Cricetulus griseus: one gene and its partners. The protein of the gene in region 1 interacts with the protein of each later gene in a pairwise test. Links are inferred from orthologs where the notes say so. Each region holds a gene or a part of one and is shown in the gene's direction. Other genes may lie near its edges.

Region 1 (4,456 bases):
GGGAGGCTTAGGGGAAAGTGAACCGGAGATGATGAACCTATGATAGCTCAAACTAGCTTGCTTTTACGTGCGTGTGTGAGTGATTGCTTGCATTCACCTATGTGTACTACATGAGTGCAATGCCCAGAGAGGCCAGAAGAGGGCTTCTGATCTTCCGGAATTGGAGTTAAAGATGTTTGAGAGTGGTCATTGGAAGCTGGGCACGGAAGCCATGTCCTCTGCAGCAACAGTGAATGCTCTTAATGGCCGAGGAATCTGGATCATACTGGCTTTTAGCCAAGCTCACCTGTATGCTTCAGGGTTGGTACTTTTCTTTGAAACTTCAGCGGCCTCCAAACCTTTGCTAAAAGAGGCATTTTATATTCTTTCTGTAAGATACCCTGAGTCCATGGCCATGCACTGCCCTTTTACCTCCTTACCAGAAACTCTGCCTTGAGTTTCTTCTGCACATGTCCGGAAAGTAACAGAAAAAGCTTCCCAGGAAGCACAGCAGCATAGGTCATTTATCAGGCCCCATGTTTGTTCAGTGCATACACAACCTTGTAAACGCTAAGTATGAGACAAACCTTGAGAAAGACCTCAAAACCTGGAGATCTCAGGAGTGTTGTGTCATATACAGGTCGCAGACATGTTTTGCCAGGCCAATTCCTATGCATTCCGCCTGAATTATAAAATGATATATAAAGGACTGGACATTGTGTACGCAGAGAAATACAACGTGGGTGGGGATCCACTTTGTTTAAATTTTACCAGGGTGTGTGTGTGTGTGCAGTCGGAAGCACTGCGACCGGGAAGGAGAGATAACATCGTAACATTACCTCTTCCAGGGAGAAGCTCAAAGTCCCAATCAACCCAGATCGAGACTCTGGTGACACAACGTGAAAGCCCGCTCGGCTCGGGAAATCCTGCCACCAGCACCTGTCTCATTAACGCCTCCTGGAGCCGGGACATCTCAGAATAGGGCCCAATACAGGTGTACTGTAGCCAGCAGCAGGTGAGGCTTCCTGGAGGACAGACAAGGCCTGAACACGGAGTGTAGACGTTCCGGGCAGGCGAGAGCCTACACGAGCATCACAGGTCCCCCAGACCGGCGCGGACTGCGCTTAGGACTTTTGCGTCAAGTGAATCCCCCGGGCTTCGCCGGGCTATGGCGACCCTCAGGAGGCCAGAAAGGTAAGAGCCTGCGAGGCTGAGAGTCCACACCCGGAGAGCACGGGTCGCTCCGAGGGCGCCCCGACTCGCGAGCGGTGGGAGGCCAGTTGCTCCTCGCCGCAGGCTGAAGCCTCGCGCTCCCAGCCACAGGCAACTCGCTCTCCCAGGACGCTCGCGCGCGCCCGACTGCAAGGGACGAGTCTGGCCAGGAGGCGCGCCAATGGGCGTGGGCGGAGAGCCCGAGGCGGGGCCTGTCCTGTTGGCCAATGGGCGTGGGCGGAGCTCTAGGGGCGGGGACTGTCCTGGTACTGGCCAATGAAAGGGGCTGCAGAGCTCGGGGTGGGGCCTGCCGGAGCACCGGCCAATAGGTGGGGACGGGGCGCGTGGGGCGGTGCCGGGGCGGGCGGCGGCGGGGAGCCGGCTGCAGACGGAGCCGGCGGCCGAGGACGCAGCGCGGCGCCTGGCGACAGCTCGAACCGCGGGCGCAGCGGCCGCGCGGGGAGCGCGCCCATGGGTAGCGCCGGACGGTGGCGGGCGGCGAGGCCCCGGCTTCTGCGCGCCGGCCTTAGAGGGGCCCAGAGGACTGCCGCTCCGAGGTGCGTGTCGGGGGGTGCGGGGTGCGTCCGCTGGTGCGGGTCGTGGGGACCGGACCTGCCCGGCTGTGTCCAACTTGCGGGCCGCTCCCCCGGGGCTCCCGCTCCTTTGTACGCGCGGGCTTGCGTCTTCGCGGGTGAAGACCGCGGTCGGGGAGCTACCCGGCAGCGCCGGCACATTCATTTCAGCCTGGCCGCAGAACCCAGAGAATCAATTTCGGCTCATCCTCCCGAGAGCGAGAGCCGAGAACAACTTGGCGTCACCCCTCAGGGAGACGTTTGTCGTCATTAACCGGCTCCGGGTATCTTAATTCAGCCGGCCAACGCCAGCACCGGCGAACCGACAGCAAGTGCGTCTTCACGAATTGGGGCTCGGCGGTACCTGATTTTGGTCAAAACAGGTCTTAGGCGCTTTGGATTCTGCTTAGAGTTGACTTGGTCTGGACAAGGATGGCTTTAAGAAAGAAGAATAAACAGCGAGAGAAAAAAGCAAAGCGGAAAAACACCCCCAAACCCAAGTCATTCACAGAAAACCGGGTATCTTGGTTATTCTCATTGGTTTTCCCAGTAACTTCAAAATAGTCCCAGAAATGTTCCTTTTGTCTGCGGTTTCACTTCTAAACTTTAACACTAGATGGCTTTCTTATGACAGGCATTTAGTCCACTGGCTGCTTGAGTTTCCTGCGTCTGCAGTCTAGGCTGGGATTTATTTATTTATTTAACGTCTTACAAATTGAAATGAAAGGGAAGAAAGTATCCCAAACTGCTGCTTTGTTTGAAATATACTGTTCCCCTTAAGGCTTAAGCCAGTTATTTTTGCAAATACGGAAAAGTGGGCTTTGATGTATACCACCTAAAAGGTGAATATGAGCAAGCTGCTCCTCAGCTGCGCTCTGCATCGTGTTTTGACTTATTTGGAGAATGGAGAGTCCTAGGGGTGGGTTTGATGATTACACTTTCGTAGATTTCTACGTGTGCTGTTTTCACTGCCCGGGTTTAGTTTGGAGGCTTCGGGAACAGGCAGAGATGGGGTCTGTGGTGGAAAGAGCAGTCTGTCTTGAGTTTGGGGCTCATGCAGGGCTGTTCGTGCCTGAGGGTTGACCAGCAGCCTTTGAGGAAGATCTGTAGTCCAGTGCGTCTGCCTGAGTCATACTGAGGATTGTGTCAGGGACCTCTGCATTTCCTTCTCCCCTGATGAGGTCTGCTGCTGCTTTTCTGACTGAGCACAGCTCTTTAATGACTAGTACAATTGCCTCTAGTTAACTGGTCCAGCAGATTTTTACATTCTGGGTTAAGTGCTTTTATTTTTTTGGAATTAAACCTAGAGGCTTGGGTGTGCTAGAGAAGCACTCTACCACTGAGCTGCATTCCCCGTCCCACTTATTATTATCTTAAAATAGTCATCTATTTATTGTTATTATTTTAGAAGAGTCTACCTAGGCTGACCTCACATGGTAGCTCAAACAGGCTTTGAATTTGTGGTCCTCCTGCCTCATGAGTGACTTAAATGACAGGTGTGCCCTGCCACGCCCCACTTCTTGTTCAGTACTTTTACTCTACAAGCAACATGACCGCTAGCCCCAAGTCTTGCCCAGATAGGCAGGCTTATTAGCCGAAGAAATTTGAGTTTGGCTTTATAGTTGTCATTTCTTGTGTGTCTTGCTTGGCTTAAAATATGACATGTTAAATTTGTATGTTCTAAATTAGAATGTATTCTTAAATAGCAGAAGGGGGGGATCCCCGACTGAGTAGACATCTGGGAAGTGGGGAACATAATGAAACAGGAACGGCTTTCCTCACTACCCACGTGCTACCTAGAGATGGGGTGAGGTGAACTTGCATAAGAAGCTCTGTAGACATTTGCTCCAGAGGATGAAGAGAGCAACACTGGATCCAGTTAGGGTATGGGGGTGGAGCTTCCGCTTGGGAGTGCAGGCCTGGGAATTGCACTGTCTGGCTCGAGTGTATATTTTTCAGAACATGATTTTGATATTGTAAAATGCTACGCTTCTGTAAAGAGCTTTTTTTTTTCCTCTGTAACTTTTAGCCTTATGAGTAGGATTATCATCTTGGTCAAAGCTATGGAATATACATTTGGAAGGGTCATCTACTCCCCTACCCACTACCCCACCACTGGTATGATTTTGGAAGGGAATCTTCTTCACCTGAGACAAGGTCAATTAGACACTTGAACTCTATTTCTGGAACTGAGGAATTGTTAGTACAAATGACAGTTATCTGGTAATTGAAACTGGTTTGAAAATGCTGTGTATGGGCCTAGCCTGCCTCGGAATTGTGCTTCCGTTGGCATGGATCTGCCCCTTACCCCTTGTCCCAGCAGTAGTTGTTAAACCCAGCTTTGGGAAGCTTTGAATTGTCTCTTTGAACTTCTGATCTCTGTGTGGTAGTTTCAGATTACAAGTCTTTACAAAGGCACAATGAATTTTAAGAAAACTTGGATTATGCTTGTTAACTTGAATGAAATATGAAGTCAAACCCTAAAGAATACACAAGAACCATGGTCTAGATTTTCTTCTTGTACCTATGTAGGCTTTCTTTTTTGGTTGAGTAGGAGGAAGGGTGGGACCCTTGAGGGCTGTTCTTTGTAGTTCCCTAGGAGAGTTTGGATAAAGTAGAGCACAATTCCTTTTGACTCCAAAACTATAGGTTTCTTCTCTCTTTTTTTCATTTCATGTTTTACGTGTGTGTGT
Region 2 (3,671 bases), on another chromosome or scaffold:
AAAGAATTTGTGTTAATGGCAAGGAGCAACCTATGTATATTGTGGTTTGCCCTTTGTTTATATGCTAACCAAAACTTTTAATGTCTTACTCTTTAAAAAGTGCCTTTTCTTTGTATTACAGGCAGATAAGTTGTTGTCACAGGATTTTGTGCAGATAATGGAGGATATTATTCTCACACTACCTAAAAATAGGCAGATTTTACTATATTCCGCTACTTTCCCTCTTAGTGTACAAAAGTTTATGGTAAGTATTAAACCTACTTGGAGTCAATGTCATAATAGTACCTATGAGTGTATGCCTTTATATGTAATTACATCTTCTTAGATTATATGCTTTATGCTATTTCAGGATTTTCTTTTCATGTGATCAGTAAAGATTTGTGTATAGATTTATTATAATTTGGGTTTTGTTTTGTTTTGTTGTGTTCCGTCCCCCCCCCCAGACAGGGTTTCTCTGTGGCTTTGGAGGATGTCCTAGAACTAGCTCTTGAAGATCAGGCTGGTCACAAACTCACAGAGATCCACCTGCCTCTGCCTCCCGAGTGCTGGGACTAAAGGCGTGTGCCACCAACGCCCGGCTGTTTGTTTTGTTTTTGAGACAGGGTCTTACTATGTAGCCCTGGCCAATAGGCCACCTTCCAACAACTCAGACCTGACTCCCCCCTCCAAAGTGCTGGGATTAAAAGTATGTGCCATCACATCTGGCTTGTCCTTTTTTTATTATTATTTTATAAAATTTTTAAAATTTTATATTTTGAACCATAAGTTTAAAACCAGCCTCTTTTCCATAATGAGTTCCCAGCCATCCAGTGCTCCATAATGAGACATATTCTCTCTCTCTTTTATGTTGCTTGTTTTTGGTTTTTCGAGACAGGGTTTCTCTGTGTAGCCTTGGCTGTCCTAGAACTCATTCTGTAGACCAGGCTGGCCTTGAACTTAGAGATCTGCCTGCCTCTGCCTCCTGAGTGCTGAGATTAAAGGCATTTATTACCATGGCCCAGCTGTGAGACTCTGTGGGGGGGGCATGGGGTGGCAGGTAATTTTATTTATTTAACTCTTTGTGGCAAGATGACATATCCCATAGATGCTAGTAATTAGTTACAGTGTTATCCTATACCTAAAACATGACCTGGAAACTACCAGTGTCGTTCTGGTTATCTTCCTGTCTCAGCCTTCGGAGTGGTAGGATACAGGCATGTATAGCCATGCCCATCTCTAACATAGTTACATTTTGAATCTGAGGTGTACCATTCTATGTTATTTATTTTATGAATACTTGTTTTGAAAAGAGATGCATCCATTGGAGCAAGAGACAAAAAAAGGGATAAATTTGGGTCAAGAAATTGAATTCAGATACCAGGCAGTGGTCACGACTTTAATCCCAGTACTTGGGAGGCAGGGCAAGAGAATCTTGCATTCCAGGCCAACCTGGTTTACAGAGTGAGTTTTAGGACAGGACCACACAGAGAAACCCAGTCTTGGGGAAAAGAAATTGAGTTCAGGGGTAGAGCTCTTTGCTTAGTATGCCTGAAGCCCTCGGTTTAATTCCCCAGTACTGCACACACACACACCCAAAAAAAGGCGAAAATGTATGCATTGCAATTTAGGAGAGGAAACCCAGGCTTAAGACTCCCTTTCCCCTCCTCTCCCCACCCCAGAATTCCCATCTGCAAAAACCCTATGAGATTAACCTGATGGAGGAACTAACTCTGAAGGGAGTGACCCAGTACTACGCATATGTAACGGAACGCCAAAAAGTACACTGCCTCAACACACTTTTCTCCAGGGTAAGTAGTGGGCTTTTCCTGCTGAGTCCCAGGGAATCTGGACAGTTACAGCATTTCCCTCTATCTTCGCTGTAAAAAAGTCTTAGTGTTTTATAAAAGACAGCTTTGGTTGGTTTAAAGTTGAAGCTGATTGACACGGGCTCTTTTATTATTAAGTAACTACCTTAATTACAGTTCATCCTGGTGATGTAGATTCTATCTTTGTGAATGCACCGAGATGCTGAAGTTCATTTGTGACCTCAAATCAGTACTGAAGGTGTTGTGGTCATTTTGTAGACATGTGCAGTATGGGGGAAGAAAAAAAAATTTGGTCCCTGATGAGGTCGAAGAAAAGGACAATCTGATGTCTTCTTTTAACTCTCATGCTGTATATAAGCATTAATTTTTCAGTCGTTGAGCTGTTTGTGATTTCATTCCAAAATGGTCCCCACACCATTGTTGAAATGCTGTCCTGTACTCTTAATCTTAAGCACAAGAAGACTGTGCAGGGAAAATATGGATTGGATAAGCTTTTTGCAGTCGTGGGTTAAATTGGTTTGAGACTATAGATGTATTTAGTAAGACATGCTTAAAAGAAATGAAAACACGTTAAACTGCATGCTATTTACAAAATGTGACCAGAGGTTCACAAGTGCCTAACTTTGTATTTTTCCTAGAAACAATGGTTCTTTTTATTTATTTGTTTTACTTATTTCAATTATGTATATGTATGAGTCTGTGTGGGTTATATACACATGAGTGCAGCTGCTAGAAGAGTCCAGAAAAGGGTTTCAGAGCCCTTGAAAGAGAGTTGTAAGCAGTTGTGAACCCAAAATGTGTGTGCTGAGAACTAAACTTGGGTCCTCTGCAAAAGCTGTGCCATCTCTCCAGCTCCAAAGCATTGGTTCCTATTTGCTGGTTAGCAGTGTGTTAGCAGTGGCTTTGGAGAGCATGAGTTCTGTGAACACTGCTTCTGTCATTTTGTCTCAAGCAGTTAGGTGGCCCTTATGAAACACTCTACGCAAGAAAACCAGTTCTCAACAGCAACTCTTCGCTACATTTTTTATGTTTTTGTTTTTGTTTTTGTTTTAACAACTTCCTCTCTTTCTTGGGAAACTCTAAATTTTAGACTTTTTAAAGTTTTGGCTAAATAATATTTTCAATATTGGCAAAACAAATGTTTTTGTCTTTCTCATATGTTTCTTTTGTGCTCAGCTTCAGATAAACCAGTCGATCATTTTCTGCAACTCTTCTCAAAGAGTTGAATTACTGGCCAAGAAGATTTCTCAGCTGGGTTACTCTTGCTTCTATATCCATGCTAAAATGAGGCAGGTGAGTGTAACTCTAGAACTTACATAGATTTAACAAAAAAAAAAAAAAAAAAAAAAACACTTTGTTTTCTTCTTGTTTAATATTCCGTAAATGCCTATGTATGAGAATATACTGTTATTTTTTTTTAAAGATTTATTTATTAGATGGTTGTGAGCCACCATGTGGGTGCTGGGAATTGAACTCAGGACCTCTGGAAGAGCAGCCAGTGCTCTTAACCTGTCAACCATCTCTCTAGCCCCAAATAATACTGTTTTTGACTTAGGGTATAGTAGTAGTGCAAGGTCCTGAGTTCCAATCCCTGGTACCAGGAAAAGAACCAACAACTGAACTTTACAGGGTTTCTCTGTGTTACAGCTCTGGCTGTCCTGGAAGTAACTCTATAGACCGGGCTGGCCTCAAACTCACAGAGATCTACCTGTCTCTACCTCCCAAGTGCTAGGATTAAGGTGTGGGCAACCAATTACCACCCCAACCCTTCCCCCACCCCCCCACCCCGCTTCCTGGCTGAACTTTTCTTTAGTAGCCAAACACCCCTTCATTTAAACCACCAGGCTTAAAGATCTCCTTGTCCAT
Region 3 (3,671 bases), on another chromosome or scaffold:
TATACTCTAGTTAGTTAGAGTGAGAAATGCTGTTGAAACTAGTGTAATAGATACTCCACCAACTAACCTGTTAGAGAGGTTCAAAGCTTTGTAATTTTGATACCCAGGATATGTTTTCATTACTCCAGGTACAGTGAGAGCTCTAGAGAAGACCCAAATTCCATTAAGGTTATCAACTTTTTATTTCTTTCTCTAGGATCTACAGTGTTTGCAGAAATTCAGGGGGTCATTGATGCTTGCATTAAGCTCTCTGGAATGCCTGATCTCTCTCTCTCTTTCATGGTAAGTTTTGATCTGTTCTACAGTCCCTTTCATGCCTAATACATTTGAAGTGCTAAATGATGTGATAATTACCAACATAAGATTGTATCTGAAATTTTTTTATTTGTGTGTGTGTTTGAGTTGGCTTGTATTTACCAGGGCACACGTGTGGAGATGAGAGGGCAACATCCAGGAATTGATTCTCTCCTTCCACCGTGTGGTTCCTGGGGATCAAACTCGGGTCCTCAAGCTTGGCAGCAAGCACCTCTACATGTTAAGCTATCTCCCCAGCCCTGGAGTTTGTTTATTAGGTTACAAAGGGCTATCTCAGAAATATTCCTAGCACAGCTTTCCAGAGAGGAGCTGACACACTGAACATGGCCTTTATGGAAAAGTGGAAGGGAAGTCTTTACCGAGTGTGCTATAAGTGGCTCAGAATTCACTGTCTAGCTTTTGTATCTCCACTGTCATTTTTACCAGATATTTGCTCTGCTTGTGTAAAGAGACATTGATGCTTTGCATCATTTAGATTCAGCATGACACACTGCTAAAAACAGCTAAGAGAAGTGTGTTCTGGTTCTGTCTTTGTTACCAGTTTCTCTTGACTTTCTTCAACCTCAGATTTCATCATCTATGGAATATAGATAATGCTGCTTGTTTTTTCTCCCCACAGTTTATAAACTTCAAGTAAAGTAATGTATATAAAATGTTTGCAAACTTTAAAAGTTCATGAAACTAAAAGGTTATTTTGATGTGTTCCTAATAAATTTTTACACTGCCTTTATGACTTAGGGAGCCTATTAATTTATCATAATATGTAAATACTGTTGTCATACTCCTTATACACTGTGCATATGGCTTTTTCTTTTCCTGACAGAACCCAAGGCTTCTAGATGATGTCAGCTTCCACCCGTGCATCCGGTTCAAACGTTGGGAATCAGAAAGAGTTTTGTCATTTATTCCTCCAGATGGGAATTTCCGACTCATATCATACCGTGTCAGCTCACAGAAGTAAATTGATGCACCAGCCAGAATTTGCCATCACAGACAAACAATTTGAATAGAACTCCCCTGCTCTTGTTTCATTTTTACAGTTTAGTTCTTGAGTTCATCTTGGCTTGCTTACTCAGCCATGGCTCACCTGGAGACCTAGTGAGAACTGGTGATATGTACCTAAAACAATCAAGTGTTTCTGAACCTGAAAGTGGAGTATGGAGGAGAGTAGGTTAAAATCTGTACCTAAAAGCAAGCCTTTAAAATATGCATAACCTGTGCAAACCATGCACTTGGTGCCTTAATCCTACTGTGTTCTCTAACCTGACAAGACAGCCACGCCCTAAGATGTTTCCTCAGATATCTGCTTCAAGTGTTCTCTACATTGAGTTTGAGGGGTAGGAGGTGGTTCTTATTTTTAAGATAGAGCCTTATTTGTAATCCAGACTGGCCTCAAACTCTGAATCCTCCTGCCTTAGCCTCCTGAGGGCTGGGATTATTGATAGTAAAACCACACTCAACTTGAACAGTTTAACATTGTCACCTGTAACTAACTTGTCCCTTTAAATACCAGAAAGCATTTGGGTAGCAAACTGAAACTTTTTTTCAAGAATTATTTCTTAGCACTTCAAATTCTTTTAAGGGCCTCTCCTCCCTTCCTCCCTCTCCTTTTCCCTCCCTCCTATAGCCCTCTACCCCAGTGTTTATACTATATTTAAACCAGATTTCTGTTTTGGCTTATGTGTTTGTTATCAACCCAAACTGTCCTAGCACATTGGTACAGAACACCCTGCTGTCCTCAACAACCCCAGTGCAGAGGCTGCATCTCCTAGGGTATATGGCCCTGTGGCACAGTTACAGACAGCATGGAGCACATGCTACACCTGGAGTTGTCCATACCTTTCACTATGTACATATGTACTTTCGTGTCTTTCTCTCTGTGTCTTTTTGTAGTCTTGTGGCAATACCAGTGTATGTGAAACACAGTATCAGCTTTAAGGAAAACAGCTCTTGTGGCAGATTTGATATAACAATTGGACCTAAACAGAATATGGGAAAAACTATTGAAGGAATCACAGTGACTGTTCACATGCCAAAAGTTGTACTGAATATGAACCTGACACCAACACAAGGCAGCTATACATTTGATCCAGTAACCAAGGTACAGCCGCTTCAACAATGAAGAGTGAGCAGTGTTGTGTGATCTCTTTTGTGGGTGGGGGTGGAGGACACAGTAGTTGGGAAAAGTGTCCTTGCATTACTTACACATGCCTCTATAAGGGTTTTCAGAGACTATAAAAGATGATTTTTCTCTCAGCTGCTCTGCTTCCTTAGTTAGCAAATGTGCAGAATAATTGAGTGCTTGATAAATGAGATATGTTTTGTTTGATTGGGGGGGGGTCTTACCGTGTAGCCCACTCAGAACCCCCTGCCTCCGAGTTCTAAATTAAAAGTATGTATCACCACACCTACCTGAGGTGTAATTTTGACTAACTTCATAGAGCATTTTTTTTTTTGGGGGGGGGGTTGGGTTTTGTTGTTTTTGTTTTATCTTGTTTTTTGAGACAGGGTTTCTCACGGTAGTCCTGGCTGTCCTGGAATTCAATATGTAGACCAGGCTGGCCTGGAACTCAACAGAGGCCTCTGCCTCCTGAGTGCTGAAATTAAAGGTGTGAGCCACCACACATAGAACATTAAAAGATCTTCCAACCTTGGAGCTGGGGAGATGGCTCAGTGGCTAAGAACACTCAAATATGATTCCCAACAACCATATTGGAGGCACAGAACTGCCTGTAGCCTCAGCTGCAGGGGATCTAACACCCTCTTCTGGCCTCCATGGGCTCTGTATTCTCGTGCACAACCCCACATAGATACATGTGCGCATATAAAGAACTTCTACATCTTAAGAATTCCAGAACCTTCCAGAGACCATGTAAGTCTAAGCAGGAGAGTTCCACATCCTTGTCTTCCACTCCAGCTACAGCCAAACTTTCATCTATTACTGTTTCCACACAGGTGATTTCGCTGGAACAAAGGGTCTGTAGCTGAAAGTTTAATGATAGTAATGTAAATCGGTTGTCTATTCCAGGGTTGTTCTGTTTTTCAAGACACTGCTTCATTTTATGTAGGAGCTTCTAGTGTCTGTTAACCTCTGTAACACATGGTTCAGATTTTTTTCTCTTGTCTTTTTAAGGTACTAGCATGGGATGTGGGGAAAATTACTCCACAAAAGCTCCCAAGTCTTAAAGGACTGGTAAATTTACAGTCAGGAGCACCCAAGCCAGAAGAAAATCCAAGCCTCAACATACAGTTCAAGATCCAGCAGCTTGCTATTTCAGGTAAAGATAGGTATGCTGTGTGTCAACAGGAAATTAGAATTAGGAGTTTGGAAGAGTTCTGACAGTTCTGCCCTTGAA

What was found. The genes of interacting proteins can lie anywhere in the genome.
Region 2: the proteins of Sipa1l2 (region 1) and Ddx6 interact in binary tests that used the Homo sapiens proteins (3 or more experiments, as listed by UniProt). The two-hybrid records come from large-scale screens. The link is inferred for Cricetulus griseus from reciprocal best matches to the Homo sapiens genes SIPA1L2 and DDX6.
Region 3: the proteins of Sipa1l2 (region 1) and Ap3m1 interact in binary tests that used the Homo sapiens proteins (3 or more experiments, as listed by UniProt). The two-hybrid records come from large-scale screens. The link is inferred for Cricetulus griseus from reciprocal best matches to the Homo sapiens genes SIPA1L2 and AP3M1.

The regions. Positions count from the first base shown.
Region 1 is NC_048596.1:202,346,604-202,351,059, reverse strand, and holds the start of Sipa1l2 (signal-induced proliferation-associated 1-like protein 2), read left to right. Parts: upstream 1-1,572; 5' UTR 1,573-1,748; intron 1,749-1,852; exon of another isoform or gene 1,853-2,282; intron 2,283-4,456.
Region 2 is NC_048597.1:156,312,098-156,315,768, forward strand, and holds part of Ddx6 (probable ATP-dependent RNA helicase DDX6), read left to right. Parts: intron 1-121; coding exon 122-244; intron 245-1,658; coding exon 1,659-1,787; intron 1,788-2,981; coding exon 2,982-3,098; intron 3,099-3,671.
Region 3 is NW_023276807.1:199,945,286-199,948,956, forward strand, and holds part of Ap3m1 (AP-3 complex subunit mu-1), read left to right. Parts: intron 1-196; coding exon 197-282; intron 283-1,138; coding exon 1,139-1,272; intron 1,273-2,208; coding exon 2,209-2,416; intron 2,417-3,448; coding exon 3,449-3,593; intron 3,594-3,671. UniProt on the Homo sapiens protein: Part of the AP-3 complex, an adaptor-related complex which is not clathrin-associated. The complex is associated with the Golgi region as well as more peripheral structures.